Drosophila melanogaster: one gene and its partners. The protein of the gene in region 2 interacts with the protein of the main gene of each other region in a pairwise test. Each region holds a gene or a part of one and is shown on either strand. Other genes may lie near its edges. The genes, in order: gdrd, Dus1, CG34149 and eIF2D.

Region 1 (3,045 bases), on a different chromosome or scaffold from region 2:
TTAATGCCGCTGCAACGGCATTTTATGGCAAATTATGTTTGGCTTCATTTCCACTGATAAGTATCGGACTTCAGCTTTCTGTCGAAATTTATCGCATATAATACGTTTTGCCAATATCTCGAGCGGCAGACGACGAACTTGAAGAATGTCCTTTCTTATTTATTGCTTTTAACATATTTGTTTGGCTCCAAGGCAATTCGTCTTTCTATGTGAATGTGGCGAAAGGCAAATGCAAATTTCAGTCTCAAATTTTCCGACTTTGCAAAGTTTTCGACAAAACAAAAGGCCCCCTGACAATATGCAGCTGCTCGAAATTGCTTGGGGTAACATTTTTGAAGGGCGGTCAATGAAAAGTTTATTATGCGCCGAAAAGAAGTCCACAAAGTTTGTGGACCGAATGAAAGCAAGTTTGGCAATTGTGTGTGGAGGGCCACTAATAAATTGCAAATATCGTTGAAAATAGTTTAGATTATGGCGATAAGGGCAGTATACAATGTATTGCTTTTGCTCATTGCTCAGTTTATTATATGCGCTTAGTTTTCGAATCCTTGGCTTGTGTTAATGCATAATTTTTTAACAATTAACTCGGGTCTGTTTGTGATTTGTTAAATGGGCTTCAATAACAATAACAATAAATAAATACAATAAATTTATACATTTTTGAAAATGAGAAATATAAAAATGTTCTTATATCATTGGTTGGTGGTTTCGTTTTCTTGTTCGACGTTTTCAAATCGCATTGGATTATCGCCTCCAGCCAACTGGTCGGCGTTTTCGCCAACAGGTACGGATGGAATTCGAGCATGGAGCTTCCTCTTCATCTGGACCACGGCAGAGTTGGCCATGCTAATGCGATTAATGATTCGGTTCAGACGCTCCTGAATGTTCGAGAATACCTGCTCGGAGAAGCGAGCGTCCTCAGAGGTATCGAGAGGCCCCACTGCAGTTGCTTCGTCACTATTGTTTTGGCTACCTTCTGTATAGGGCTCGTAGCTTTCAAGGTCTTGGAATATATCAGATCCGTCGTCCGACATTTTGACAAAAAAAATATATTTCAGAAATTTCAATAGTTATTCAGGAGCTGTGAACTAGAACAGACTTAAGTGCAAACAGATCAAAGACAGAATTTATACTGACAACAAAATCGAGAGCAGCATGTTTGATATAGTAACTCTATACAATAAACAATAGTATTAATCCAAACTCCATAAATATGAGTAGATGGTCACAACGTTGAAACATTTTTAATTAAGCGACACATCAAACTATATTTTTTATTTAAAACCAACGTTTTAATTATCTTCAAAATTAAGAATAGACGGATTTAAAACCTCTTAAGAAATCGCAACCCACTTGGCATGTAATCATGTGTGAAATGTGTTCAGCAGGGTCATAAAATCAGAAATCAATTAAAGCAATTTAAGAGCGAGGAGAGCAAACGATACGGATATGGATGTCGAGAGTCGAAAGTTGCCAGGGCACAAGGCAAATAAATCTCTGAAACGACTCTGCCAAAAAGGACGCACTTTGGGTGGCAGTGAGGATAAAAGTTTCCCCACAGCTGAACGAGGCGAACGAAATCAAAGTCTATAACTTAACGACTGCAATGAGAATGATGCTGATGACGATGTCGACGATGTGAAACGCCCTCAAGGTCCACCCCATTCCGTCCACCCGTTCCACCCACAGCCCGCCACCATTCGAGGAAAATCCGTACGCAGAAAAAGAGAGACAAAAGCCGAAAAGGGAGGAAATGCAGCATTCATTCTCTCGCCATTTTCCCCTTAACCCTCCCCTTTTCCCATGGCTCTTTGCCATCATTCTTTCAGTGAGTTTTTCGCCTCCATGTGCTAAATATTTGCCAGCCATTTCTTTATTTTTCTCTGGCCTTTGTCGCCAAACTGGATTCCCATCTTGATACCCATCGCTCTGCCACATCGTAATAAAGCAATAAATCTGCTGAGGAACTGCTCCTCATAAATTCCGTTACGCATAAAAACACTTACAAATGACTTTTTGTTCAATGGAATAAATGGCATGGCACTACACACATACTAAGATGTATATATGGAGCTGTAGCTGCGAATGCATGTTCATGACTGCACCAAGTTAAATTCACACACTTGGCTTTCTATATCTTCCGGGATTCGCTGAATCCTCTATTGATAATGCCATTTGGCATTTGGCTTGTGGCAAGGCTTTGACTTTTGCGACGTCTTTCACTTTATGGGCTTTCTATTGAAAACTCGTTGCGCTGCTAAGTAGGCAACATTTTTCAGCTCGCTCTAGTTTGTTCGCTTGTATCTTCGGGCGTAATAAACTACGGGATAAATTAAGTTTTTGTAAATAAGTGTAGGAATCTGGTGAAAAAATGTTGTAAAGAAATCCTGTCACTGAAGTTAAATTACAAATTAAAAATAAAATGTACTCGGAATAAATAAATAGTTGATTAAGAAATATAAGAAAGCCATACGTTTAATATTTAATATTTACAATACCCAACTCATTATATGTTATAACAGTTAAAGCTCTGTTTTTTATATTTCACAGAATCATAACATAAAACTCGTTACGAGTTTTATCGACATTTTTTTACGCACATATTTCACATTAAATATTTAAAATAACAGCTCGCGATCAATCTAAATTAGTAGAGATGTACATATGAAAAAACCCTCTAAATCCCTACCCTTGTTTATGCCAAGTGGTCTCATGCTGTTGCCTAATCTGCTGTCCAAATCACTCTTGCAACATGTTGCACGACCAACTAATTGATGATATAATTGAATGTTCAGAGACCATTTCCCAGTTCGTTAGGCTCTGGCTCTCCACAAACCATATCCCATATCAGGAACAACATCTGTCAGACCCATCACAATAAATAACCATATAGTTATAGTTGAGTTTCCTGCATTAAAACGCCATCAAGCTGGAGATTAATGTGAAAAGGTCACGCCCAGCTCCTTGGGAGGTGAAAGCCATTCACTTCAGCGAGACATTGACATTTGCTACTGGCTTTTCCTTCCCATTTCGCCACATCCTTTG
Region 2 (9,302 bases):
ATGATGTGATCCGTCTCCGACCTGACGCCGTAGGCTCCTTTGGGTCCCGACTTTAGTCCAGCTGCTGTTGTGGACATTGTGTTATTGGGCCTGGAGATAATGGCTCTGATGATGATGATGATGTGTGAATGATGAAAGGACCTGCTTGACAGCTGTACATTACATTTAATGCTAGACCACGCCCTCGACGAATGATGCAATCCAGAAATGGGAAGAATTCATATAATTCCCAACCGATTTTGCAGCATGTTTTAATGGTTTGATTGCGGATTACAAAAGTGTATTAGGCATCCTTAAACAGTTTTGAAGTTGTAGCTTTAGAGTCCAATTAAATGTTGTTGCCTTTTTATTGTCTTCTTTTAAATTTGCACTACTTCACTTTGCCTGCCATTTAATATTGCATCCTTCGATTGGCTTATTTTTACGGACGAAGCTTTTTATAAATAATCTTCTCCACAACAGTTTTTTATGTTGATTTTGTTCTCTCCGTCCGTCACACACATACACACAATTTTATAGTTATATATTTTCATTTGTTGTTGCGAAGTACAAATGGCGCAGTTATAGGTTCGTACGTATATTTATTTTCGTTTTTCGCTTAAGTCCACTTTGTTGTTGTCGTCCCTGAGAGGGGGTGGTTACTCTGGCAGCGGGCGCAGAAAAACAGGATGTTCGCCACCCCCCTTTTTGCGGAATTCCTCTCTATGGTTTTCCTTCTCGTTTTGCTATTTGTTTGTCTCCCACACATACACAGAGACAGGAAAGCGCAGGGACGCAGGGACGCATAGCCGTCCCGAGGTAAAATAACAGTAGAACTGGCGAAGGCATTCGCGCTTACCGTTACTTGAGCGCACGAAAACGAACAACCGACTCCTTCGACCGACGCGACCAAACGAAACAACTCCGCACAGAGTAACCAACTTGGAAGCTCGTATCGTTGATTTAAAACGAACGGTGCTGCAGCACTCAGAAAAATAACGACATTAAGTGCAAAACTGATAGTGGAAACTGTAGTGAAACGTACTTCTTTATATATAATGCTGAATTCCATAAATTCGTATAAGTTTTATATAATATATTACATTTACATTTTCAAGTAGAATTTTTTTCAGTGCTCCCTTATGTTCGACCAGGTTTGACGACCATTTCGCATTGCTAAAGCAACGGAGTTGCTTTTTTCTGTTGTCAAACAGAAACAGATGGGTTTAAAAAACAGTGAACTATGTAAGCTAGTGTTCTAAGCTCAATTTCTCTCCCGTGGTTCGAAGTCGCTCTCAAACACCGAACCGAAAGCTTCGTCTGATTGAAAACAAAAAGCCTACCAGTTGAACGACGACGCTTTTCAATCTATAGTGGCAAGCAACCAGAGGAGGGTGAAAGGGAGAGTTGAGGACAGCTGTGTGCGGTTTTGCCGGTATTGTAAGTCATAGGAAAATTATTAGCGGGAGAGGATTTTCATTGGCCCACCAAGGGGGTTTTAAGAAAAAGGGCACCCACACTCAATTTACTTAAAATTCTATATCAGAATTTACGTTACAAGTCAAAGGCCTGAATTGATATGTGGCCAAGACATATTGTTAATAACTGTCTGCTTAGTTGCATTCAACGAATGTGGTAAACAGCCTGCCACTTATTATATTATCATTGTGTGTACCACATGTCTATAAACGTTGTCTCAATAAAAGTTAAAGCACTACTTTTGATTCCCAAAACTAACTAGCCATTTAGCCGAATGACTCACGCAGCCATCCCTAGGGACCCATATCACAGGAGGAAGTAACTATTTTGAAACGCTAAATGGAAATAGGAACACAGACGACCGCTAGCGATTGGCACGCACCTTTCATTTTCCAGCATAAGTTTGCCTGTTTTCGGATGCCACCATCATTTTTTATTTATTCCATCGGCAGCGGGGTCGGAAAGTAAGAGGGGTGTCCTAGGTGTTAGATGAAATGGAAAGTACACTCGAGAGAATATTTGGAGCACGTGCTGCAGCAAGTACATTTCAGCACTTGATGTGATTTTATTTACATGGAAGACGGCTAGTGAGAGTGGGTGTTCTTTTCCAAGGAAAGCCCTACGCAGACATGTTGGCGCCGGACCGAACGATTGGTAAATATTTATGCCCGAGATGCCCGCATCTAGAATCATCCACGGACGCCAAACTGGGTCAGCGGTCGGAAAAAGCGGGTGGAACATAAGCCCGGATAGAGACAGCGAAATATTGAGGAGGATAGTCAACCGAGGATTTATGTAAGCCGAACTAACGCCCTGGAATCTGCTGGAGCCAGGGTAATGACAGCTTCGATCCCGATTCGGCCTCTTAGGATGGGACCACAGATTCATGCAGATAGCTATAAAACGGTTGTTGAGACTGCTTAAGAATATATATATTTTATATTGCAAACTATTGACTAAAGTCAATATACAATCGGCAGGGAAAAAGTATAGAATATTGTTAAAGTAGGCGGGGCTACTACATTTTCATAAGGCACTGTTCGAAATTAGTTTTCTTGGAACGCTCAGAGAGTAAATGTTAAGCACAAATAATTTAGGCTACTGTAAGTTTAGAGCGACAAGATGATCGATATTTTGTCGCTGCCGCGGCGAAATAAGGTGTCCGGAAACCCGGCCCTGCTAAAGATGATCTCCTACAAGACTGGACTACCCATCAACAGTCTACCCGGATGGGAGCTGATCCCTCTTAATTGCAAGCTGCCAATGCTCAAATGTCCCGGCAATCAGGTCATATTCTCCAAGAACAAGATCGGACAGGACGTAAGTGCTACCAGTAGAAAATCAGCTAGAACCTTACTTTATCATCATCATTCATACATATCCACCAGTTCAAGAGCGGTAAACAGGAGTTTGAGTGTTCCGTTACCGAACACATCCCGGAGTACAATCCGCTACACGACTCCAACCTAAAGACGTTCTACTCCAATGAGCGTAATCTGAAGCGGTTGAGGGAAAACGGTGAGATAACGCAGGACAACGATGTAATATGCAATCTGAAGGACTTCAATCAGCATCGCCAGGAGCTGCACAAATCGCAGTTGTACTACATTTTGCAGGCATACAAGCGGCGCGAGTCGGAGCAATATGATCGAATGCTGATCGCCAACGCGGAGTCCATCACAAAAAAGGATCACCAGAATCTCGCAGCCCGTCACCAGTGCACTGAGGAGGTTCTTGCCAGAAAGAAACTACAGGAGCAGGAACGCCACGAAAGAAAGGTCCATCTGCTGAATATCACATATGAGAAGTTTAAGCGCTTAGAGAACCTGGCCACCATGCAGAATATGTTGCTGGAGCACCGCAAGATGCTGACAAACATGCGTGTAGCTGCCCACATAAGCATGTGCCAGGATTTGATGAGAAAGCTATTGATCAAACAGAAGAAGCTCTTCCAGTTCAAAAAGGATCGGTTCAACAAAAACATGCGAATCCTGAGGAAACAACGGCTGGTAAAGAACACTGAGCACCAGATTCAGTCGTGGAGGAAGCGACTTGATGAGCGAATTGCTAATCAGCGTAGGATCGAATACCTCCTGCAGGAGGTGGAAAAAGAGCGAGAGGCGTTTATAGACAGGCACAAGGCTCATTACAGAGAAAAGTGGCAACGGATTCAGGACGAGATTAAGGAAAGAGCTCAAAAGGCCATCACTGCTCGTCAGCCCAAAAGAAAGCGCCGCAAGAAGAAGAAGTCGACACTTCAGGAACGCAAGCCATCATTCTGCGATGAGTATCAGGCCACCTTTGAGGGATTGTTAGACAGTGATCTTTGTTACGCCTTGAATGCAGCCATTGCCATGGAGGGTCAGACCGCTCTCAGCTTCGCACCAGACGACCCCATCTATAAGGCGGCACAATATATACTGGACTACATAATTTCTGGTTTAAACGACGATCTCAGCGAGGATGAGTGTGCCTTGCAGGTGCTGATCTCGCGCATTAAGGATTTTGTCTGCGATGCAAAGAAATATGTGCACTACGTAAGTGTTAATAGCAGTCCCTCTTGACATACCACTAATTCATTCCGCCTGCAGAAAGCTTATCAGATCATTGGATTCGCCAGAGACCACAAAGCCATGGAAGTGCCTCCGTCGATGGCCAAACAGCCGAAAAACCACTCGCGCGCCTCCCATGTATCATTTAGCGGTGTAGCCAGCACCATTGGCGTGGGCAGCTACGAGATTCATCCGTTCGTGGACGTCCGCCCGTGCAGCGAACGTCGGGCCACTCCGGCGGGATCATTAGCCTCTCTGGTTGTCAGCCAGATCGGCGAACAGGTAATACAGGACAAGGTGCGCCTGCCGCATCTAAATCGCAACCAGATCGTGTTCATAGAGCACTACCTGGTGAAGTTTAAGCGGGATCTATTGGTGGGTCTGGACAAGCTGGTATTTGCAGCGATTCAGTGCCACTTTGAAAACCGTATGATGGAGGTACGAGAGGAGCTCCTTCTGCTTGACAGGAACTATTTGTTCGAGCAGATTGCCAGGGGTATCCTCAGCTATGCGGTTAATCCGCTCAACTATCAGTCGGTGCTTAAGCTGGCCGTGAGCGTCCAGTCGTGTGAAATCATCTGGGAGCTGCAGCAGACGATGCTCAAGCCAGGCATCGATCCCCGGGGCCAGAATCACCCAGTGTCCTGCGGCACCGAGCAGGAACGCGAGACCCTGGCTCTCTGCATACCCTAGGATCCTGTCAAGCAGACAGGGCAAGGAAAATTGATCTTAAAGCAGGATGCCTTAGCTCTGGCGGGAAGTAGCCCTAAAAATTACTTGTATATTTCGTTTCCGAGGCACTTACATACTTCAGAGTCCAGGAATATTCATTTTCAATATGATGTCCTAAATTTATGTACTATGTTTTCTTTTATCGTTTAAAATGCTTCCTTATAAATAAGTTGAGTATAACTTTAAAAATCAGACACCTGGATCCTTTAGTTAAAAACTCAAAGCTCTTGAGATTTAATCGTAGAAAACCAATAAATTTAGGTAAATACACTTACCCAAAAGTTTTTTGCAAAGTTTTTTCACTGAGTTTCATACGTTTTTCCTAGTAAACACTATTAATTTGATTTTTTATTCAAAAGCGTGGAAGCAACAGCTGGCAAAACACAAAACCAGGGCTGCGTCGGCTGATACATTTCGATAAATAGGTCTGCCCTGGTTATCGATATTATTCCCCGGTATGTATTGTACAAAAATTAATTCAACTTCATTCTCGTTTTAAACAACAGAGGCGTAATTCCTAAATTCCGTAAATATTAAAATGAAAGAACTAAATCCATTGGTATTGAAAATGTATTTATCTTTCACGTTCCTTTACAACTAACTCACGCTATAACTATTTAGAAAAATTAAACGGAGCTCTATAAGAATACATCATGGAGTTAAAAGGGGCGCCCGGGGCGCCTAGAAGGGGAAATGGAAACACTTGAGGAGGTAGACTGGCTGCGGCCGATACGGAGGCTTTGGTGCCTCGTTTCCGCTTCTGTTTGGACACAGGAGCTGGGTGAGGCTCTTCGCTGGACTCCGAGTCATCGCTCTCGCTGCTGTCATCTTCATCTTCGTCGTCATCTTCCTCGTCATCTTCTTCGTCATGATCTTTCGGCTCCACCTTCATCCTTTTCTGTGAAGACTTCTTTATCTTTTTTATTGACGCCTTTTTGTCCTTTTTGGGTTTTGCTGAAACTGGAGCTGTGACTGTGCCAGCAGGAAATCCAAATCCTTGCTCGCAATGAAAGGCAGTCATTTGCTGCATGGCAAACTCCACAAACGACTGGATGGCAATATTTAGATTGGGCGGGTTTGGACAGTTTTTGAGACCATGATAACTACCGGAGCAATTACGACATATCATCTGACACTGGAAGGAGGTGTGGCCCTGGAAGAGATTTTTTTAAATTGGGTAACATTCTTTTAAAATATTTACCTTCTTGTCGCATATGCCACACACATCCACGGTTTTACCCTTGTTTTTTTGCTTTCTGGCCTTCTTGTCGTCTTCAGGTTCGGTGCTTTCCTCCTCATCGGTAATGGTAAACTGGCGCTCCTGAGAGCCCATGCAGACAACATCCTCCTCGGTGTTCTTTTCCATCTTTTTACTCTTTGCCGGCGGATGACTCTGTTCATCATCGGTGTCGCTGTCCGAAGTTGAGGAGTCGGAGGACGAAACTGGTTTTACAGCCTTTGGTTTCGGAGTTGATGCTACAGGTGTTTTGATGGCCTTCGCTTTTGGGGACGGCACCACCACTGCCTTAGTGTTGACTACCATTTCCCCTGGTTCGGGTTCAGACTCCTCTCCCGAAGTAGATGACGACCTAGAGGAGTTAACCTTCTTCTTTTTAGGAGATTTGGGCTCCGCTTTGACAAATTGCTTTATTTTTGACTTGTGCTCCATTTCTTTCTCCTTCTTGATATTGATTAGCGGCACAGTAGGTTCTTCTGGCGTAACAGCCACATCAGGTGGTGCAACAGATACAGGTGGTGGTGGCGTCAAGTCCGCAGCGAAAGTAACAGGTGGCAGGCTCTCCTGTCTGAGAGAGGAGGGAGCAGGCGAGGATCGAGGCAGAGGTGGGTCTTCGGTAAAGTCCCCCACATTATCGAAGTACAGCATGTTACTTTGGCCAGGACTAACATGCTGATCCTTAGGTTGCCACGAGTTGTTACGGCCACCACGCCTATTGGAATCTCTGCCGCGGTTCCCTCGCCTGCCACCCCAACCACCACCTCCTCCGCCACCGCCTCTATTTCTTCGGCCCCCTCTCTTGTTTGGCTGATGATTATCCAGCTCCTGTTGGGGATCTCTGAACTTGTTAAACGCGTTTCCATTCTGCCCACCTTCCGATCCAGCGTCTGGCCAGTTTCCATTGGCGGCGCGATTTTGGCTGTGGCTGCCTCTTCCCCCGCCTCCACTGCTGCGCCTCTGCTGATTGTTGCGGCCGTAATTCGAAAACGGTTTTCTTTCCTCTCCTGAAAGGTTCCAGCCGGATTGTCCTCCACTGTTGTGCATTATGGAATTGTTAATATTTATAAAACCGCCTAGTTGCGGCGCACGTGTTGAGCCGATTGGGGTTATCGATAAGATCCGATTGTTGGTGGGACTGCCGAAGTGGCTTCTTTCAAGCCAAAACTGCTATTCATTATATGTATATTAAGTTTGAATACCTTATATATAATATAATATATATATATAATACTGTGACAATATGTGACATAATACATGTAATGGACTAAAATGTGAAGTGACCAATGGAAGGTTTTTATAAGATTTAACATATATAGCTAGATTCGATAGTTTCTCAAACTGGCACCTCAGATGGTCAGATGGACGATATTCAGTTTAACCACAAATAACAACGCTATGAATTCTACCAATCCGAAGAAAACAGAAGATAATGATCGCCATGAACGTCAATTGCAGAGCCGCACCAAGGACTGGGGCAAAACCAAGTTCAAGCCAAAGAAGTATGTCCAACCGAAACCAGCGCTCGTTCCACAAGCTACTGCGACGCCCTGGCAGCATGTGAAGAACGACATAATTACGGATTCTTCGGACCGGGGACACCAGGATGTGGACAGCGAGGACGCAAGGCAGTTCATGCAGCAGCGTCAGAAGAACCACCGTCGAAATGTCATAGAAGCCAACCGGTCGCAGGATACTACATGGGAGCCCTTCAACGATGAGAAGCCCTCCACGGAAAGAAAACAACAGCTCTCCACGGACGTTGAGAACTTCACTTTTAAGGAGCGGAACTTTTTCCGAAAGCAACTCACTTTGGGTTTCAATTTAACGAAAAAGAATGCAACACTTAAATCTGCCCTAAAGGACTTGAAATATAGACAGCTGACAAAGGACAAGTTCGAATTAGAACGTTCGAATCATACACGTCGAAATGTGAAATCATCAAATGCGAAAGAAGCAAAGGGTAGCCATCCCTTTCAGAAAATGCGAGATAATGCACATCCTTATCGAAAGAAGGGACCAAATAGGAGAAATCCGTTTCAGAAAGGGCCACATAATGAATAAGTTTAGCTTATTTTCCCTTAGGTGACTTCACAACCCCAACTGGCAAAACATGAAGTTTCAATTAAAAAATAAATAAAAGATTCTTTGTCGGGTGACAAATCAGAAATGTATACACAACATTACTACACACTTTATGCAAATCTTAAAAATAGTGGTACAAATACATGTGGAATAGGTCGGCGAAAATAAATAAACTAAACAGAGTTCGGCTCCTCCTCCGTTGGGAGGAGCAAGAGGAGATTGAAGTGGCGCTCGCTGCGCCATGGTTCCAGCCAAAAATCGTCCAAATGAAATCTCAGCCATGTACATTGGCAAGCTTGGCGATGAGGTGGTTAAACTTGCCGTTGGTGGTCACAGACTTTTTGGCCGATCGCACTTGTTCCGGCGAGTGCTGCAGAAAGTAAACGACGATAAATTCGAGTGTTTGATTGGCTTCCTTAGGGTACATCATGTTAAAGGTATAGTAGTAGCAGATTAACTGGGCCAGAATGTCCGGCAGGTCTTCGTCTTTGGCGGCGAATGTGGCCATTATCTGGCCTTCAATGTAGACCTTCGCCTCCATTTGCGATTCCACGCCGTCGGCCGTTGTTATGGGTGAATCTGTGGGAAGATAAATATTTTAAAAGTATTTAAACACTTTTAGTGATATTAATTTTTGTGTACTTACTGACTAGAGCCACCCAGGGGGCGTTTGTGGGATTCGTGCTTTGCAGTGATTCCTTGCTAAGGGAACTGTTCTCGAGGTGCTTGAAAATGTAGTCGGGATCCTCATTAAAATAGTACGCTATGCCACGCAGGAAATTAGCGTTGGTCTCGTCCAAAGAGCTGATCTTCTTGTTCTTTGAACTCTTAAAGAACCTGAAAAAGCGATCCTTTTCGGTAGCCAAGCGCTTCTCTAGAGCCCGGGGATCGATGGACATAAGCAGCTCAAAGTGCTGGTACAGCACAGCCTTGTCAAAAATATATGGCCAATTGTCCTTAATGGCCGTTATATCTGGGATCTTTTCGCTGTTATTAAAAAAGGAGCGCTGCAACGGAAAGCACTCTTTCATATATTCGATTATGACGGACTGTTCCAGTGGGGAACTGCCTCGGTAGCTGGAGATTAGTAACTCCTTTTTGTGCTCCAGATCCCTGTTAAGAGCCAGCGATTTTGCATCACCATTGGAAGCACCACCTCCGAATTTTCGTTTTTTATTAGGGATGTGGATCTCAAAGGTTCCCGAGCTGCCGCGTTTCTGGGGTTTGTTTAGGGCATTGTT
Region 3 (7,849 bases), on a different chromosome or scaffold from region 2:
CAACCACATGCGGCCCAGATCCTGGTACACCTTTTCGATGATTTCGTCAACAACTTGGGAACGGAATGCGCCCAGGAACTGCTTGTGCTAACGCGGAATCTTCTACAGTCTGATGTGCGCGATGATCGACGCTCAGCGTATTTTCTTATGCACAAGCTGCAGGAGATCGACGAAGTGCTTGCCGCTCTCCAGTGCAGTGAGGTTCAGTGGAGCGCGTATGTGGGCATCATGGAGAACCTCGAGGAGCAGCAGTCCCATCTTGTGCTGCCCACTTTAAGCACCCTGCTGCCGCGCATGGGCCTGATGTCTAACAATTTGAGTGAGGATTGGCTGGATTGGCTAAGGATTCTGTGCATACGCCTCCTGGGCGACAACAACATCCTCGTGTTGCGCTGGACCCTGAAGTACTTCCTATCCCATTTTAGCCTAGAACAGATATCGCGTTTCAATCTTCTAACACAATTCCTTGCTGCTACCAATCGGACGCAATTGTACAATCCAGAGGTGCCCGATTGCCTCACTAAGCAGCAAATAACTGATTTTAGTGCACAATTCCCGGCAGAGATATTGCTGGAAGCGCTTGTCTGCGTTCCGTGGCATGCAGTTCCCCTGATCCACTGGCTTCAAGCATGGGAGCTAAAGCAGCTGCCGGTGGTTTCCAAGGAGCTGCTGTTTAAGTTGGGCGCTCGCGTTCGTTCCCTCCAAAATCCGGTTTTGCGTGGTGAAGCCATCAATTATGTGATTTTCTCCTTAAGTGTAAGTTTAACTTATATAGAAGTTTTAACAATTTTTTGACTTTAATCCCATTAAAGGCGACGATTGACAGCCTGTCATTGGGAGATTACCTCCTCTTCATGGAGTCTTTGTACAATACCATCGACCGGTATCAATCTCATTCACAACTAGCACAGAAAATAAGAAATTGCAGCAATTTAGAAAAACATATTGCTAGTTTCAACATTCGTTGCTGTGAACTTGTATCTCAAATGGACTATAAACACGATGTATTTGTTGCGTTCTTGGAGAAATTACGAACAGTTCCAAAATCCAAACATGGCTGGTGGCGACTTTTACCCATATTTCTGCATCGGGAACTGGATCATCCAGAACAGTATTTAGATTTCTATCGCTCTGTCTATGATTTAGATACATCTTTTCTTGAAAGTGGTGTGAGTCTAGAGCAGATGCAGCAGCACCTTCTTAATCGATTGGATTGCCAGACCAGAGAAGAGAAGTCCTTTGTGCTCGAGCACTCTGTGGATCTTTTCGTACAGATAAATCTTCCAACGTGGAGCAAGTTAGAAGTACTTAACCTAAATCCCCTGGAACTTTTGGATCGGGGTACTGAAGAAACATTTGCCACCTTGTCGAATATATTGTCCACGCATGATGAACAATTGGCTGACCAAAATGTATTGCCCGCCTTTATATCCCGTTTGGGAAAACTAAAGGTCAGGGAAACGTGAGTAATATATTCGCTATATTTTTGTAAGTCAAGTTATTAATTCATTGATTCCCAGACAAGCCATCCTAAAATATGCAGTGCAAAATCTTTCGTCAGAAGAGTATGAAAAGTGCGTAGTGGACGTTTTGGAGAAAAACACCTTTCTTTTGGGTACAATGGACTGTGAAGAATATATTAAGGCACCCACCTCGTTTGTTATAAAAAGAATGCTGCAGGGAGAAACCACTACTGGCGATGCACGGCAAGAGAATAAATATTTTTTTCGTGAAATTACTATATACAACGTTAATAATAACTCCGCAGCATTGAACGCGCATTTGAGCAAATCTCGGATACTGGAGCCATGGATCGTGTGCAATTTATTCAATATGCGAAGAACAGCACTGGTTTGGATATCAGCTTCATCTGTGACGATTTGCTTAGAATGAACAATGAGCTGTCCAGAAAAAAACCACGCTATTTTGCAAACTGCAAAGAGCACAGAATGAAAATGCGAATAGGCAAAGCTTTGCTCGACCTAAGCGACAGATGGAAGTGGTCGGACAACCTGTGGGAAGCCGTCTTGTGCCCTAGCGATCAGCCTAACATTAGCTTTATGTACGAGTACCTTGTCTCCAAAATGCTGCCAAGCATCGATCTATTGCTGGAGCAGTTAAAGCTACTGGCAACTCTAAAACCGAGCCAGCAAATTTCGCTTGTCTCTGTAGTCCACATATACTGCTTGACTCGCTGGGAAAGCATACAACATGAACAGCTTGTCGAAGTATTTGCCGTCCTGTTGCCTCTCACAATGGGAGCAAATTTTCAGACTCGTTTGCTGGCCCAATTGGTTTTGCATCGGATTTGTAGCGAGTGCGAGGATCGAAGGTAATGAAATTAGTATTATATACTACTTGTTGCCGAATTTTATTAATATTTTGATATTTTTAGCATTCAAATGCCAATAGCTGATGCATTGAAGAAATCCATCAAGGTTACATTGAGCGAAAAATTAACTGAGTTTCAGTGCGAAGCTCGACTTTTGTTACCAGAACTAGGCAAACAATGCCCGACATCCGTTTCGGATTGCATTCTGATGATGACGAATGCACCATTTGATGAAAACATCAGTTTTATTAGTTGTTCCTATGACTTTCGAATGAAACTAAAGCGCGCCCTTGAAACGTTTAAACGGAAACAATCGGTTTTGATACCTGAGCTTGCAACGTCCTTGGCTGCATTAAACGGAAATGTGCAGCGAAAAATGAATCCCGTCGGAGATATATATCCGGAGAGTGACTTTGTTGTTTCGAACAAAGCTAGAGATGACCACGAACTCATTGTGGTGGCCTCGCTCATAGACAAATTGCCAAATCTGGGCGGATTGGCGCGTACCTGTGAAGTTCTGGGCGTTAATACCCTAATATTGGGTTTAAAATCACAGGCGGAGAAAAGCGATTTTACAAACTTGAGGTATGCACGTCAAACATCGCGGTAGCCCTATTATATTGCTTTATATAATTATAATTATATTATTTTAGCATGACTGCTGAGAAAACTTTAAACATACTTGAAGTGAATCCAGAATCGCTTGCTGGATTTCTGCTGGAAAAGCAAATGGAGGGTTATAAAATCGTTGGCGCCGAGCAAACTGCACACAGCACAAACTTTGTTGACTTTAAGTTTCCCAAGAAAAGCATTCTTCTTTTGGGGTTCGTAATCAACATCTTGGGCGTATTTTTTGAAAACTTATTGTTCTGCATCCCTCCTCAGGCATGAAAAACATGGAATACCAGCGAACCTTATTGGATTCTTGGACTACGCCGTCGAAATTCCCCAGTATGGCTTAGTGCGCTCTCTAAATGTACATGTGGCTGGATCACTATTTATTTGGGAATATTGTAAGCAGCACTTAAATTAAATTCATAATTTGACCACCAACAAATGCCTTTAACAAATAAAGTAAATACCTAAAAATATTGTACAAATGTTACTATATAAATGTTTTGTGTTGTATATATCTTAAAAAAAATACACCCAAAATAAATTACCTATATAAACTTAATTGTACTAGCTATTAGTATTATTTCTATTTTTTTAAATGTGTTTGTTTGCCTTCGGTGAATTAATCGAAGTAAATATAATTCATTCTCTTAAAGTTTCGCGCCTTGTTATCGATAACCAGTATTTACCGATGACGCTTGCCTGAAACAGCTGATCCTATAATCACAACATCACAACAAACCCATTGTAAACAACTTCGAAAAGACGAAAATGAGCTTCTCGGAAAACACCTCCGATTCTGAATGGTAAGTCCTTGAGGCCGGAAACTCTCAAATTCTATACGAATGCTTCGCTTATAGGAAGACAGACAAAATGCTAAAGGCGCGGACTGCTAAGAAATCTTTAAAGCTGGACAAGGAGCACAGAACTCTGAAACCTAAATATAACCAGAAGTTCTGCGAAAAGTGGCTCAAGATTTTCGATCCATGGCTCCGACGGGCGGCCGAGGATCCTAACAAGCCATTCTGCCGCGCTTGCCAGTGCACCATGGACTGCAATCGATGCCACCTGGTGCGGCACGAGCGAACCACCAAGCACAAGCGCAATCTGGAGGCTCTGCTCACAAAGGGCGAAGGCGCGGCGGTCCAGGAGTTCCGGATTCGCCAGCAGCGTAGCAAGTACTATCACCAGCGTAAATTGGTAGTGATGGAGCCCTTGGCTGAGAACCACGAGTTGGAGCCGCCTTCCACTCCAGAGCCTATGCCCGTGATGGCCATTGCTGATCAAAGCCTCTGTTCTGCAGCCAGTGAGAAGGTGACAGTACCCAAACAGGAGTTCTTATCAGAGACAGAGGTCACAACAAAGATGACCGAACCCCCGTCAAGCCATGCCAATTGCAGTGACAGCTCCTCTTCTGCCTCTAAGCAGGAGGGCATAAAGTTACTAATGCAGATCCACCAGGACAAAAACGAACTCATGGAATCCTTCCGCGAGCTGATGGGAAGCCAGAGGACCCTAAGTCACACACCGCCGCCCAAGGAGAAGAATCATGTGGATCTGTTTTTCGAAAGCGTCAGTTCCAGCGTGAAAGCCCTCTCGCCAAAGTTGGTAGCGGAAGCCAAGATGCGAGTATCGCAGCTGATCTGTGAGCTCGAGCTTCGCGGCCTCAGTGAAACCAGCCAAACGGACGCACTGAATCCAAACCCTCAAGCTAATGAATCGCTCGCACTGCGCCCATCATGACAATCCCTTGTCCTTCAGCATGAATTTAGAGGCATACATTAATTTTAAATTTAAAAATAAATGTTATCGATTTTTATAAGATCAATGCAAATATACTTTATTTGTTAGATATACGAATCAAACTATTCAAAATAGGTGCGAGAAATGGTATCGGACTGTTTATCGATAGGCTAGAGGCTACTGCTACTGCCATCTCCAAAGCGCGGCTGTGTTTTCTTCCAATGTTTATTAAATTTGAAGCAGCTAATGCAATTTAAAGGCTTAAGTGACAAAATATTCATAACATAAGAATGTGGAACACTTCAAATGTGTATGATGAAACGACCTCTGAAAATGGCGACAACGAAGAGCAGAAAGCTTCATACATTAAAGAAGATCATATAGAGGTATAATTACTAAGTTGCCCTTAAATTTACAAATATTTAAACGAAATTATGCATTTGCAGACCGAGAGGAAAAGTTTGCTACTCATCAAACGGAACAACGTAGCCCTACAGAAAAGACAGCTACCCTACTCAAGGCCAACGCCGCAGAACCGCCAGGAACTTGTCGAGAGCATCGAACAAGACCGTAAAGTGCTGTCGGCGTACTTCAAAAGGTTGAGCTCCCAGCGAGATGAAGTCACTTCACCAAATGCAGCTCCACCGGCGGCTGATTCCCCTGTTCCTCAGAGAAACAGCTACGATCTTTTCTTTGAGAGCGCCTGCATCAGTGTCAAAGGCTTGCCACCCAAACTGGCGGCGGAAGCCAAGAGCCGCATCTCCCAGATAATCACCGAGTTCGAAATCCGCGCCATATCAGAAATGGAGGCCCAGCAGGAGCACAAAATGCGGGCCCAGAACAGAATGGATAATGCGTCCGGGGTTGTTTACGAGTTTCGTCCCTGCTCGTAAAGTAGGTTGGGTGTTTGCCTTTCAACTACCTTAACTCATCCTATACACTTCACATTTGGACGCCACCTAACTCTGGACTATCAAAATTCATAATAAAAATTTAAAGCATTCTACATCCAGTTAACACTTAGGCGGTCATTTGGTCGCGTTTCGGCCCTAAATTATTGTTGTTCGTTAATTTAAAGTTGGATCAATGGCCGGAAAGTTGAAAATATGCATCATTGGGGCTGAGGGCTGGTAAGTTCTTTCAATTACCAAGTCTAAAACACATTTAACTGCTTTCAAATGGCTTTTCTAGGGGCTCGGCCATTGCCGCCGTCGTGAGCAACAATGTCTTGGAGGGAGACTTCGACAGCCGGGTGCATTTATATGTCTACGATGAAATGATTCGGGACACTGCCCTATCGGAGATCATAAACACTCGTCACGAGAATGTCAAGTATCTGCCTGGGATCAAGCTGCCCAATAACCTGGTAAGGAAATTCTTGCAGTGTTTTGGTATCTGCATTATACAAAATATTTTTGTATTAGATCGCTGTAAATGATCTTTTGGAAGCTGCCCAGAACGCAGATATCTTGGTATTTTCCACCCCGCTGGAGTTCGTGCAATCCTACTGCAACATTCTGTCTGGTAATGTTAAGGAGTCGGCCTTTGCTGTTTCCATGACCAAAGGATTGTTGAGCGAGAATGGGGAGGGGATTGAGCTTGTTTCGCACGCCATTAGCGAGAGTCTGGGTATCCCGTGCTACTCTATGATGTCTGCACATAGTGCCATGGAGATGGCACAGGGAAAGCTGTGTGAGGTGACCATCGGTTGCAGCGATAATTCTCATTCCAAGCTGCTGATCTCTGCTATGCAAACCAATAACTGCAGAGTTATTTCTGTTAATGACGTTGACGGAGTAGAGCTGTGTGGAACGCTCACAGACGTCGTTGCCTTGGGAGCGGGTTTCATAGATGGTCTGCGTCTGGGTGAGAATGCACGGTTGGCAGCCATCCACTTGGGTGTCAAGGAAATTATGCGGTTCATTAAGACGTTCTTTCCTTCCTCCAAAATGTCCACATTCTATGAGAGCTGTGGCGTAACCAACGCGGTGGCTTCCAGCTTTGGTATGTACAAAGAAAAATGAATCAATTAATAAGTGTATAATATCAACTGCGCTAATTTAAAGTCGATAAAAACGTCACATTTGCAAAGAGCCTAGTAACATCAGGCCAAACCATTGAAGAAATAGAAGCAAACCTCCATAGTGGCCGCAAGCTTTTGGGTCCCATGGTGGCCAGTAATGTGAATGCATTTTTGGAGAATGGGCTTATGCAACACGAGTACGTATAAACTAGATTTTAAGACCCTAATAAACATACTTCTAAAACTATAGATTTCCGCTTTTCACGGCCATCCATCTTATATGCCAAAGTGAGGCTCCGCCGGAACTGATGATAGAGGCACTGAGAAACCACCCGGATCTAAGGTAAGAGATTTTAATGTTCAAATTACCCTTAACTCATCATTACTCCTTTTACAGCAGTTCATCCATTTCACATTTACTGAACCATGAAAGGGACGAGCTAAAAACGGACCAAGGCCTTCCCGAACTGAGGACTGCTTTAGATAAGATATTGACGGAGGCGGGGAACGAAAACATTAAGCAGCTCAAGGTTATGGACGATTGGACAGAAGTAAACGATTACGACGTCGAGGAGACGTACCATGAAAAAGTGGCATCACGAGATTCCTGTCTTGAGACCGAAATTATGCCAAGCCGTCTGAGCGTGCAAGCTGCACAGCTCTATAATGACATCCGGGATGGGAATGTTGGGGTGGCCTTTAAAATGGACATCGATGAAGGCAATCGCCAAGTGCGGCTCTTGCTAGAGAAGGAAGACGAAATGGCTAGCGATGCAGCCTTGACAGTTATTTCATCAAGATTGACTGCGGGCCAAGAGGATGACAATGCCAGGATAGGCCACGGACACATAACGAACACTTCCGCGGAATCCGATCATATGTCCAGCAAAAGCATTCCCAGTGGCTTGACTACGAAGGATTCGCCTGATGTCCTGGATTTGAGTTGCGAATCTGAGCCACTACATTCGTCAAAACAAAATAGCCAGCTGATGGAAGATGCGGAGACAAATTTCACGGAGCGTTTAAAAGTGAATCAACTTAAAGAGCAGATTGATAAACAAGAAGCGGCCAATTTTAAAGCCCAAGAAAATCTTATAAAATCTATAAGACAAACAATTCAGGCTCTCGGTGATAAA
Region 4 (8,601 bases), on a different chromosome or scaffold from region 2:
TTCCAGCGCCGGGATCCAGTTTAACCAGGAGCTCCAAGAAGACGACGCCACTGCAGCAGCCCAAGAAAACGCCGCAGATGGCCGAAATAGCGCGGATGGATAAATTCATGAACTCGCGCAACGAAAGTAGACGATTCCCACCAACTTTAACCTACGATCTGGGCCATGACGAGCTTTTAAGCCAACTTACTTTCTCTTCGGCCATACAAAACGTAAACAAATGCAACAGGTGGTTATCGATAAAGTTCGGTTCGGGCACAGCTGATGTTGGTCTATCGAAAGTGGTTGAAATTCAAATATTCCAAGCGAAAAAGAAAAAATTTATGATTTTAAGAGAAGAATATTTTATTTAATGTACATTACATTCAAAACCAAACTTAAATATGTTGCCTAATCACATTCGAAATATTCGCACCAACAGTCTTTTACAACAATTACAAAATACAATGATGACAATGCTAAGAAAGAAATTACAGATTAGCAAATTAATGGTATATTACTTATTTTTCCTTTTCCAGCAAGGCAATAATTTTGTTTAACTTTTCCGTCTGCTGGGCCTCGAAGTTGTCCAGTCTCTTAGACACTAACAGCGTCAGCTTCTCAAATCTCATGTCGATGTGCTCCTTGAGGATTGCAACATCGGTGGAAGGCGGTGCAGTCTCTTGGGTTTGGTCCTTCGCCTGCGGGGAATAGCCCTTCATCAGGCTCATGAACTGCTCGAACTTTTCGGCCTGCTCCTCCTTCTTCAAGGGACTCGTGCCACCCCTTTGCAGCAGCTCTTGGATTCGCTGCGCATCCATTGGCCTGGGCAACTGGGTGGTTATGCCGTTGGGATTCGGCGCCACCTGGAGCAGGGCTCCGTAAACGCAGATCTCGCTGGCCGAGGTGAGCATCTTCAGGTTTATGTCATTTATCCCGGATCGGTCGATTTCCATGTCATAGCGATAGGGTCGCACCGCAACCTCTGGGTCCTCATCGTCGACGCAAGTGCCGTAGATGGTCTCGCAGTACTCCTGCAAGGGTCCAATGAACAGCTCCACCTTGGGAGCGCTGCAAATCAGGGTGAGCGCGGCGATTTTGAAGCGGTTCGGGATCTGGAAGCGCAGCTCACAAGGCGGCGGCGGATCCGCCGACTGCATGGAAAACAGCACGGCGCGATTCTCGTCGATCACGTCGTCCAAGTCGGGCCTGCGGACAAAGGAGGTTTCAAAATTACTTGATAAAAACCAGTTTCGGGGCGTGGAATCCTTTGTCTCACTTCACAAAGACGTCTTCGTCGGACAAGCGGGTGGCCACCAGTTGGTCCAGCCCGTTGCCCGACAGCTGGGGCCAAGTGCAGCGCGCGGTGACCTTTTCGCACATGCTTTAAGTGACAAAAAGTTGGAATTTATGGGAGCAAAATTTAAAAACAGCCAAATTTAAAAACCAAAACACGAATATAGTGATGACAAACGCGAGCGATAACATCTGCGCGGGGGATGCCAACCTGTTGCACAGCGCAAACTAATTGGACATTTGAAGGTAGCTTGACGCGCTATTCCAATAAGACCATACTCCGGAGTCCAATCAGAGAAGGCACCGCATCTGCGCACTACGTTTTTCCAACAGAACGGCAATATCGCGGCCTGACAGCTGCGACCTTGGACGGCTCCCTTGTAGGTCAAACTTCAGCAGAATTCCCACATATTGCAGTCGCAGCAAGGCGGCAGCTTAAGAACGAGTACACAATTATCCGCAGAGTGATCAACGCAGCTAAAATGGGCGGCAAGTACAAGATCGTGATGGTGCGCCACGGCGAGTCCGAGTGGAACCAGAAGAATCAGTTCTGCGGCTGGTACGACGCCAACCTCAGCGAAAAGGGTGAGTGATTACATCAATTTGAAATTTAAACCTCATATGTGGGATTAAAAATCTGATGTACATCTAGTTTCCAATCGATGATCCTTTGCTTTGATCAGTTTCACAATAGTATTCCTTTTCATTTACCCAAATTAATCTTCATTGACCTAGTGCAACATTATCTCATTCAAACTTTTCTGTGATAAAAATAGGTCTCTACAAACAAAAGCTTTCCAGTGCAATTTTCAGAAGCATCAAAATTCTAGTTTGTTACACTTTAAAGTCAAAAATTTGCCATCTCATATGTTTCTAAAGTTCAGATTATGCTTATGAGCATAATTTGATAGGTTATCGCCTTTTTTTAACCCTAGTAATCAAATTAAATTAAACGCATGCCTTTCAATTAGATTAAATTGGCTTACGTTCGTTACCCAACACGGCGTATACTTAATGTTCGCTAAACATTTGCCCAAACAGGTCAGGAGGAGGCCCTAGCCGCCGGCAAGGCCGTCAAGGATGCCGGCCTGGAGTTCGATGTGGCCCACACCTCGGTGCTGACCCGCGCCCAGGTGACGCTGGCCAGCATCCTGAAGGCCAGTGGCCACAAGGAGATCCCCATCCAGAAGACTTGGCGCCTGAACGAGCGCCACTACGGTGGACTCACTGGCCTGAACAAGGCCGAGACCGCCGCCAAGTACGGCGAGGCCCAGGTGCAGATCTGGCGTCGCAGCTTCGACACCCCGCCACCACCGATGGAGCCGGGCCATCCGTACTACGAGAACATCGTCAAGGATCCCCGCTACGCCGAGGGTCCCAAGCCCGAGGAGTTCCCCCAGTTCGAGTCCCTCAAGCTGACCATCGAACGCACACTGCCCTACTGGAACGACGTCATCATTCCCCAGATGAAGGAGGGCAAGCGCATCCTGATCGCTGCCCACGGCAACAGCCTCCGTGGCATCGTCAAGCATTTAGACAGTGAGCATGGGAGACATAACATATATCATATCATCTTTTTACCATATCCTTGTCCAATCCAGACCTTTCTGAGGACGCCATCATGGCCCTAAATCTGCCCACGGGCATTCCGTTCGTCTACGAGCTGGACGAGAACTTCAAGCCGGTGGTGTCCATGCAGTTCCTCGGCGACGAGGAGACCGTGAAGAAGGCCATCGAGGCTGTGGCCGCCCAGGGCAAGGCCAAGTAAGCACGCAGGCCACACCTCATGAGAATCCACTCAAATACGGCACAAGTCAGAGCATTCTGATTACGCTTCTGTTCAAGATGTAGCCAATCCCATTCGTTGTTGTTGTTCGCGTAGCAGTAATTGGTTCATCCCCACTACAGTTAATAAATAATTTATTATTACACTCAAGAGGACAGGCGGAGGAGGCTTCATTTATTGTCCGGCTCACTTCTTCTTATTCTTCTTGCCGTCCTTGGCCAATTCCAGGCCCAGGATGCACTTGGGCGGCACCTTGTACGTTTCCGTGAGCAGCGTGTGCACAAATCGCACCTGGTTGCCCTGGATTTGCAGCTGCTCGTGCTTTTGGTGCGGCAGTTTCACCACACTGGTGCTGGCGGCGGCTCCCTGCTTGCACAGCTTGATGAACTCGGCCAGGATGATGCCGTACGCCTCGATGTTGCTGACCAGCGTCACCTTCTTGTTGCCCGATCGCGTGGCCAGGGACATCTGGATGAGGGGCTTCCCGCTCGTATCTTTGCCGCTGCACATCTGGTAGGAGTGCTCCATCTTGCTGGTGATGAGGGAGCACATCTCGCTTAGCGAAACCTCTCTGTTACCATACAGCTCGATCAGAGTGTCGTCGGGGCGCACCAGCTTGGTCAGCGGATGGAGGAGACCATGTTTGCTCACGTACTCCCGCACAATCTTCTTGATCTGACCCGCCGGGATTCCCTCGCCGCGCTTGTAATTCAGCTTGGTGAAGAAGGCCGCCGTAACATCGGTCACTATGTACATCTCCTTCAGCTCGGAGTGGAACAGGGGCGTCTCGGACGCCGCTCCATTAGCTTCGCTTGCCTTGACATCGGTTATAAAGTTCACCACTTCGGGGTGCTCCAGGTCCACAGATGTGATTTTATCCACTCCCTTGCTCTCCTCCCGCACCACAATGAATCCTTGGTCCACCATCTCGGCCAGAAAGTTGGAGAGCTTTTTGTAGCGCGTCTTCTTCAGGTCGATTTGCTCCGTGGCCTCCGTGACCACATAGAGTCTGTAGAAATTGCTCGTCAGCAGAGGCAGGGGCAGCTTCTTTCCATGGTTTTTCAAGGCGGAGAGGAAGGCATTCTTGAGTATAAGTTCTGGTGAGGCTTCCTCCACGGCTTCTTCGTCGGACTCGGGAGCTTCCTGGCTTTCCAAGGTCAGAGCAGCAGTTTCCGTTTCCAGTTCCTCGGTTTGGGCCACCGTAGCGAAGGTCACAGGAGCGGGAGTAGCTGGGCTGGCGGTCTTTCTCCTTTCCGTCTCAGACCCAAGAGCAGGGAAATCCTCGCCAGACAAGGCCTTTGTCTTGACCAGCGGGATTTGCTGCACCAGACTGGGCTCATGCGACCAGAGCTTGTCCCCAAAGAGGTGGAGCATCTTGATGGCCACACCGTGACCTCCGCACATGTACAGTTCATCGCTGGAGCGAGCCAACTGGCCCACGCCCACCGCAGATTTGTTGTTTGTGAGGTTTACGGCCACTGAAAAAGACAATGAGATCAATACTCGTTACCTGGGGAATCCCAAGCAGATACCCACTCAACTGTCCCTTTTTGAAGTGCCCGTACATGCTCAGTCCCACGCCCAGGGGCACCACTCCGGGCAGCATGAGATCCGCTCCGTTCGTCAGCTTGGGTAACACACCCTCGTGGGTGGTGAAATAGGGCAGGATGTCCGGAACGATCCACAGGGTGTACAGGGTGGGCACAAGTTGACCGCCGTCCAGCTCGAAGAACAAAGGCAACTTGTCCACGCAGTAGACCATGCTCTGAACACCGCCGTGCGTTAGGATCTTCACCTGGGTCACCGCCGCCTTCGCCGGCACCAGCTGATCCACGGACACATGGGGGAACGCCGCCTCCACGCGCTGCCGGAACTTCTTGCTATCGGATCCCTTGAGGGCAGCACTGCTCTTGGGTCTGTACGGCTTGAGAAACATCTGTGTTTGGTGGTGTGCACTTGAGGAGTTCGTGAAATGGTTTGGAGTGGCACATGCACAGTGAAAACAAACAACTGGCAAACGGGGGTGCTGCTTTAGCTATTTTCTCGCCAGTTTGTATATTTAAAAAAATATCAATGGGATTCGATATTCTAAAACCAAGTATAAGAAACATAAGAATAAGATGCAGAAAAAGAAATTAACATAAAATAAAGAAGTGAGTCCTGTCTTTTCTTTTCACAATAACTCTACCCTAAATCAAAATTAGTTAAGAGCAGACGTTATTACAAGGACAGCACGCGCAGTAAAAATGCCGGCGGTCCGGAAAATTTCGAATCACCAAGGACTTCCTCAGGTAGCAAACGACAGAAAACCCAGGATCTTGTAAGACGCCATTTTATTCAACAAAACATCTGCGTAACAATTCCCCGTACACGGCCTTGTGACTCGAAGATGCGTGTTTGATTCATAGTTTTAACTTTGTACTTGAAATAAAAATTAGTAGTTAAACCCCCGATATTTGAAAAACATAGCCCGGCCCGGTAACAAGATTCGATCCTAGTCAGAATCCGAGTCGGAATTACTGTCCTTGGCCGTGTCGCGCGCTTGTGTAGGTGGATCATAGATGTGGAGGCTTTTGCGCCAGATCTTCACGAGCCCATCGAAGGCGCGGCGGCTGTACTTTCCATACTTGTTCGGGGTGCGCGGATGATCGCGAGTCCGCTCGTCCTTTGGCACCATTTCCACATAGCGCTCGTAGGCGGCAGTATTCTTTCCGTAATCTATTTGCTTCTGCCTGCGACTTAGGATGGCGGGATCGGCTTCGGTGTAGGAGGATGACGATGAGGTGGAGGACGTGTAGCTGTTGTGGCGCACCCGTTTCTCCTCCTTGTGGGCGCGGAAGTTGCCAGACTTTTTTGAGTTCCTCGAATGGGGATTGTTGCCGCCTTTGGGCGCAGCTGCATCTCCGTTGGCCGAGGAGTTGCTGCTGTTTGGACTGTTGGAGCGACTGTTCTCGTTGCTGGGCGGCGTGAACGAGTGTCGGCGCTTGTAGGGCGTTTTTAGCTTCTCCTCCTTGACCAGGCGCTCGAACTTTACCTCGTTGACGCCATCCAGGAACTCAAATGCCATCTCCCGGCCCTCGCCATCTTTGGACTCCAGATTACCGTCGGCTGTCTCCTTTTTGGCCAAGGAACCGCAGCTGGCAGCGCTGCTATTCAAGGAACTGGAGGCCTGCACGTGCAAACAAGAGAATTAATTGTGTTCCCGATCGTAGCAGCCAACCTTCACTTACCTCGTCACTGTGGCCAAACTCCGCGCGGACCTCCTGGGCCCAGCTCTGCATGGTGGGCTTCACATCGATCGAAATGGAGGATGCTGAGGAATTCAGGCTGCCGGAGCCTTTCTGCGGTGTGTTCTCCACGGACATGTGCTGATCCTCGCAGAGCATGTTGTGCAATTATCTTTCGTTTGTTTACTGTGCTGTGTATGATGCGGTCCGCTGCTCCAGGATGTTGTCGCGGCGGTGTTTTGCGTTTTCTGCGCAAACCTTCGCGCGTTTTTTGTTGTAGATGCGATGCTCAGTGTGCCCAGAAGTGGAGGTGGTAAGAAGGCGGCAAAAAGGTACCACAACACAGAACAACCTGGTCACTCACAACTAATTTCAAACTATGCTCCAAATGTATTACATTTCATTTCAATTTTGTTAAAATTTGATGTCCAATACATATTTAAACATACAGAAAATTAACAGCGATTTTTAAATTGTCTGAGGGAGGCTCAAACAATATCGATGCATCGGTACACATCGATAGCAAGACATCGAGCAACCAACCATTACCAACACTGTCTGCTTACCGAGTGATTTAGCATTTTTTCGGCACAAAAGAAAACTGAAAATTAAAACGGTGCAATTGTTGGTTAGTACGCAAAAGAACGATTTGTTTTCATAGCAAACGTAAAGTTTTCGAGCCCAAGTTGAACATACGTCACTTTAAAATCCGTAGAACATATTTTTGACTGGAAACAACGCAGCTGGAAAATGAGTCTTACGTCCGCCGCGGGGATAATTTCCCTACTCGATGAGCCAATGCCGGATCTTAAGGTGTTCGCCCTCAAAAAGCTGGACAACATCGTGGATGAGTTCTGGCCGGAGATCTCGGAGTCCATCGAGAAGATCGAGATGCTGCACGAGGATCGCAGCTTCCCCGAAAACAAGCTAGCTGGCATGGTGGCCTCCAAGGTGTTCTATCACCTGGGCTCCTTCGAGGACGCTCTGACGTACGCCCTGGGCGCTGGTGATCTGTTCGACGTGAATGCCCGCAATGAGTACACGGAGACCATCATTGCCAAGTGCATCGACTTCTACATTGCCCAGCGGGTGGAGTTCATCGAGAACCCTAAGGAGGCGAGTGTCGTGGACGAGCGGCTGGAGGGCATTGTGAACAGGATGATTCAGCGCTGTCTGGACGACAACCAGTTCCGCCAGGCTCTGGGCATCGCTCTGGAGACCCGTCGCATGGACACCTTCAAGGACGCTATCATGAAGTCGGACGATGTGCGTGGCATGCTGGCCTACGCCTACAACGTGACCATGTCCCTCATCCAGAACCGTGGCTTCCGCAATGAGGTGCTGCGCTGTCTGGTCAGTCTGTACCGTGATCTGGGTGTGCCGGACTACGTGAATATGTGTCAGTGCCTCATCTTCCTGGAGGACCCCTTCGCCGTAGCCGAGATGCTGGACAACCTCACACGGTCCTCGGTGGAGACAAACAATCTGATGGCCTATCAGATTGCCTTTGATTTGTACGAGTCGGCCACGCAAGAGTTTCTGGGCAATGTGCTGCAGCACCTCAAAAACACCGCTCCTATCCCAACCGCCCTCCCCAGCACATTTAAGCCCCAGGGTACCACCTCCGAGGATGGTGCCAAGTCGGAGGGAGACAAGTCCAAGTCTGACGAGGATATCACAGAGGAGACGCCAGGTAAACCCGGTTTTCTAATCCAGTCCCTTAAAATACTTATAAATCGCATTTTATTCACCTAGCTGATGATAAAGTAGAGCGCACAATCGATTCCCTTAACGAGGTTGAAAAGTTGCATCAGAAGAACATTGAAAAGCTCATATCGATCCTCTCCGGCGAGGTTTCCATCGACCTACAGCTCCAATTCCTCATCCGCAGCAACCACGCCGATTTGCAGGTCCTTCGAGGCACAAAGGAAGCGGTCCGCGTGTCTATCTGCCACACAGCCACTGTTATTGCCAACGCCTTCATGCACAGCGGCACCACCTCCGACCAATTCCTGCGCGACAACCTCGACTGGCTGGCCAGGGCCACGAATTGGGCCAAGCTGACGGCAACCGCTTCGCTTGGAGTAATTCATCGGGGTCACGAGAAGGATTCCCTGGCTCTCATGCAGAGCTATCTGCCAAAGGAGGCCGGTCCAAGTTCTGGTTACTCTGAGGGTGGTGCCCTTTATGCTTTGGGCTTGATCCATGCGAATCACGGAGCTAACATTATAGACTACCTGCTGCAACAGCTGAAGGATGCCCAAAACGAGAATGTGCGTCATGGCGGCTGCCTGGGACTAGGTCTCGCTGGCA

What was found.
Region 1: the proteins of Dus1 (region 2) and gdrd interact in a two-hybrid assay, tested with the Drosophila melanogaster proteins (one large-scale study listed by BioGRID).
Region 3: the proteins of Dus1 (region 2) and CG34149 interact in a two-hybrid assay, tested with the Drosophila melanogaster proteins (one large-scale study listed by BioGRID).
Region 4: the proteins of Dus1 (region 2) and eIF2D interact in a two-hybrid assay, tested with the Drosophila melanogaster proteins (one large-scale study listed by BioGRID).

The regions. Positions count from the first base shown.
Region 1 is NT_037436.4:14,689,418-14,692,462, reverse strand, and holds gdrd (goddard), read right to left. Parts: upstream 1,117-3,045; 5' UTR 1,035-1,116; coding exon 693-1,034; 3' UTR 501-692; downstream 1-500.
Region 2 is NT_033779.5:266,612-275,913, forward strand, and holds the start of Dus1 (dihydrouridine synthase 1), read right to left. Parts: upstream 5,134-9,302; 5' UTR 5,018-5,133; intron 5,016-5,017; exon of another isoform or gene 4,704-5,015; coding exon of another isoform or gene 4,050-4,703; intron 3,996-4,049; coding exon of another isoform or gene 2,847-3,995; intron 2,779-2,846; coding exon of another isoform or gene 2,581-2,778; exon of another isoform or gene 2,477-2,580; intron 895-2,476; exon of another isoform or gene 78-894; coding exon of another isoform or gene 1-77. Other genes in the region: CG17075 (uncharacterized protein), read right to left, coding at 1-77; CG3345 (uncharacterized protein), read left to right, coding at 2,581-2,778, 2,847-3,995, 4,050-4,703; mbm (mushroom body miniature), read right to left, coding at 5,356-5,895, 5,944-7,023; CG11555 (uncharacterized protein), read left to right, coding at 7,375-8,040; CG17078 (uncharacterized protein), read right to left, coding at 8,336-8,640, 8,708-9,302.
Region 3 is NT_033777.3:22,376,449-22,384,297, forward strand, and holds CG34149 (uncharacterized protein), read left to right. Parts: upstream 1-3,679; 5' UTR 3,680-3,718; coding exon 3,719-3,753; intron 3,754-3,807; coding exon 3,808-4,690; 3' UTR 4,691-4,805; downstream 4,806-7,849. Other genes in the region: CG18596 (uncharacterized protein), read left to right, coding at 1-756, 813-1,462, 1,521-1,706, 1,769-2,332, 2,396-2,917, 2,986-3,156, 3,218-3,365; CG43342 (uncharacterized protein), read left to right, coding at 4,981-5,076, 5,137-5,583; Gpdh3 (Glycerol-3-phosphate dehydrogenase 3), read left to right, coding at 5,777-5,820, 5,882-6,056, 6,115-6,694, 6,757-6,910, 6,964-7,056, 7,111-7,849.
Region 4 is NT_033777.3:29,146,693-29,155,293, forward strand, and holds eIF2D (eukaryotic translation initiation factor 2D), read right to left. Parts: upstream 5,103-8,601; 5' UTR 4,998-5,102; coding exon 4,598-4,997; intron 4,540-4,597; coding exon 3,248-4,539; 3' UTR 3,204-3,247; downstream 1-3,203. Other genes in the region: CG14511 (uncharacterized protein), read right to left, coding at 1-109; CG11882 (uncharacterized protein), read right to left, coding at 501-1,188, 1,259-1,362; Pglym78 (phosphoglyceromutase 78), read left to right, coding at 1,758-1,860, 2,317-2,814, 2,877-3,043; Slbp (Stem-loop binding protein), read right to left, coding at 5,556-6,230, 6,292-6,447; Rpn2 (regulatory particle non-ATPase 2), read left to right, coding at 7,039-7,981, 8,044-8,601.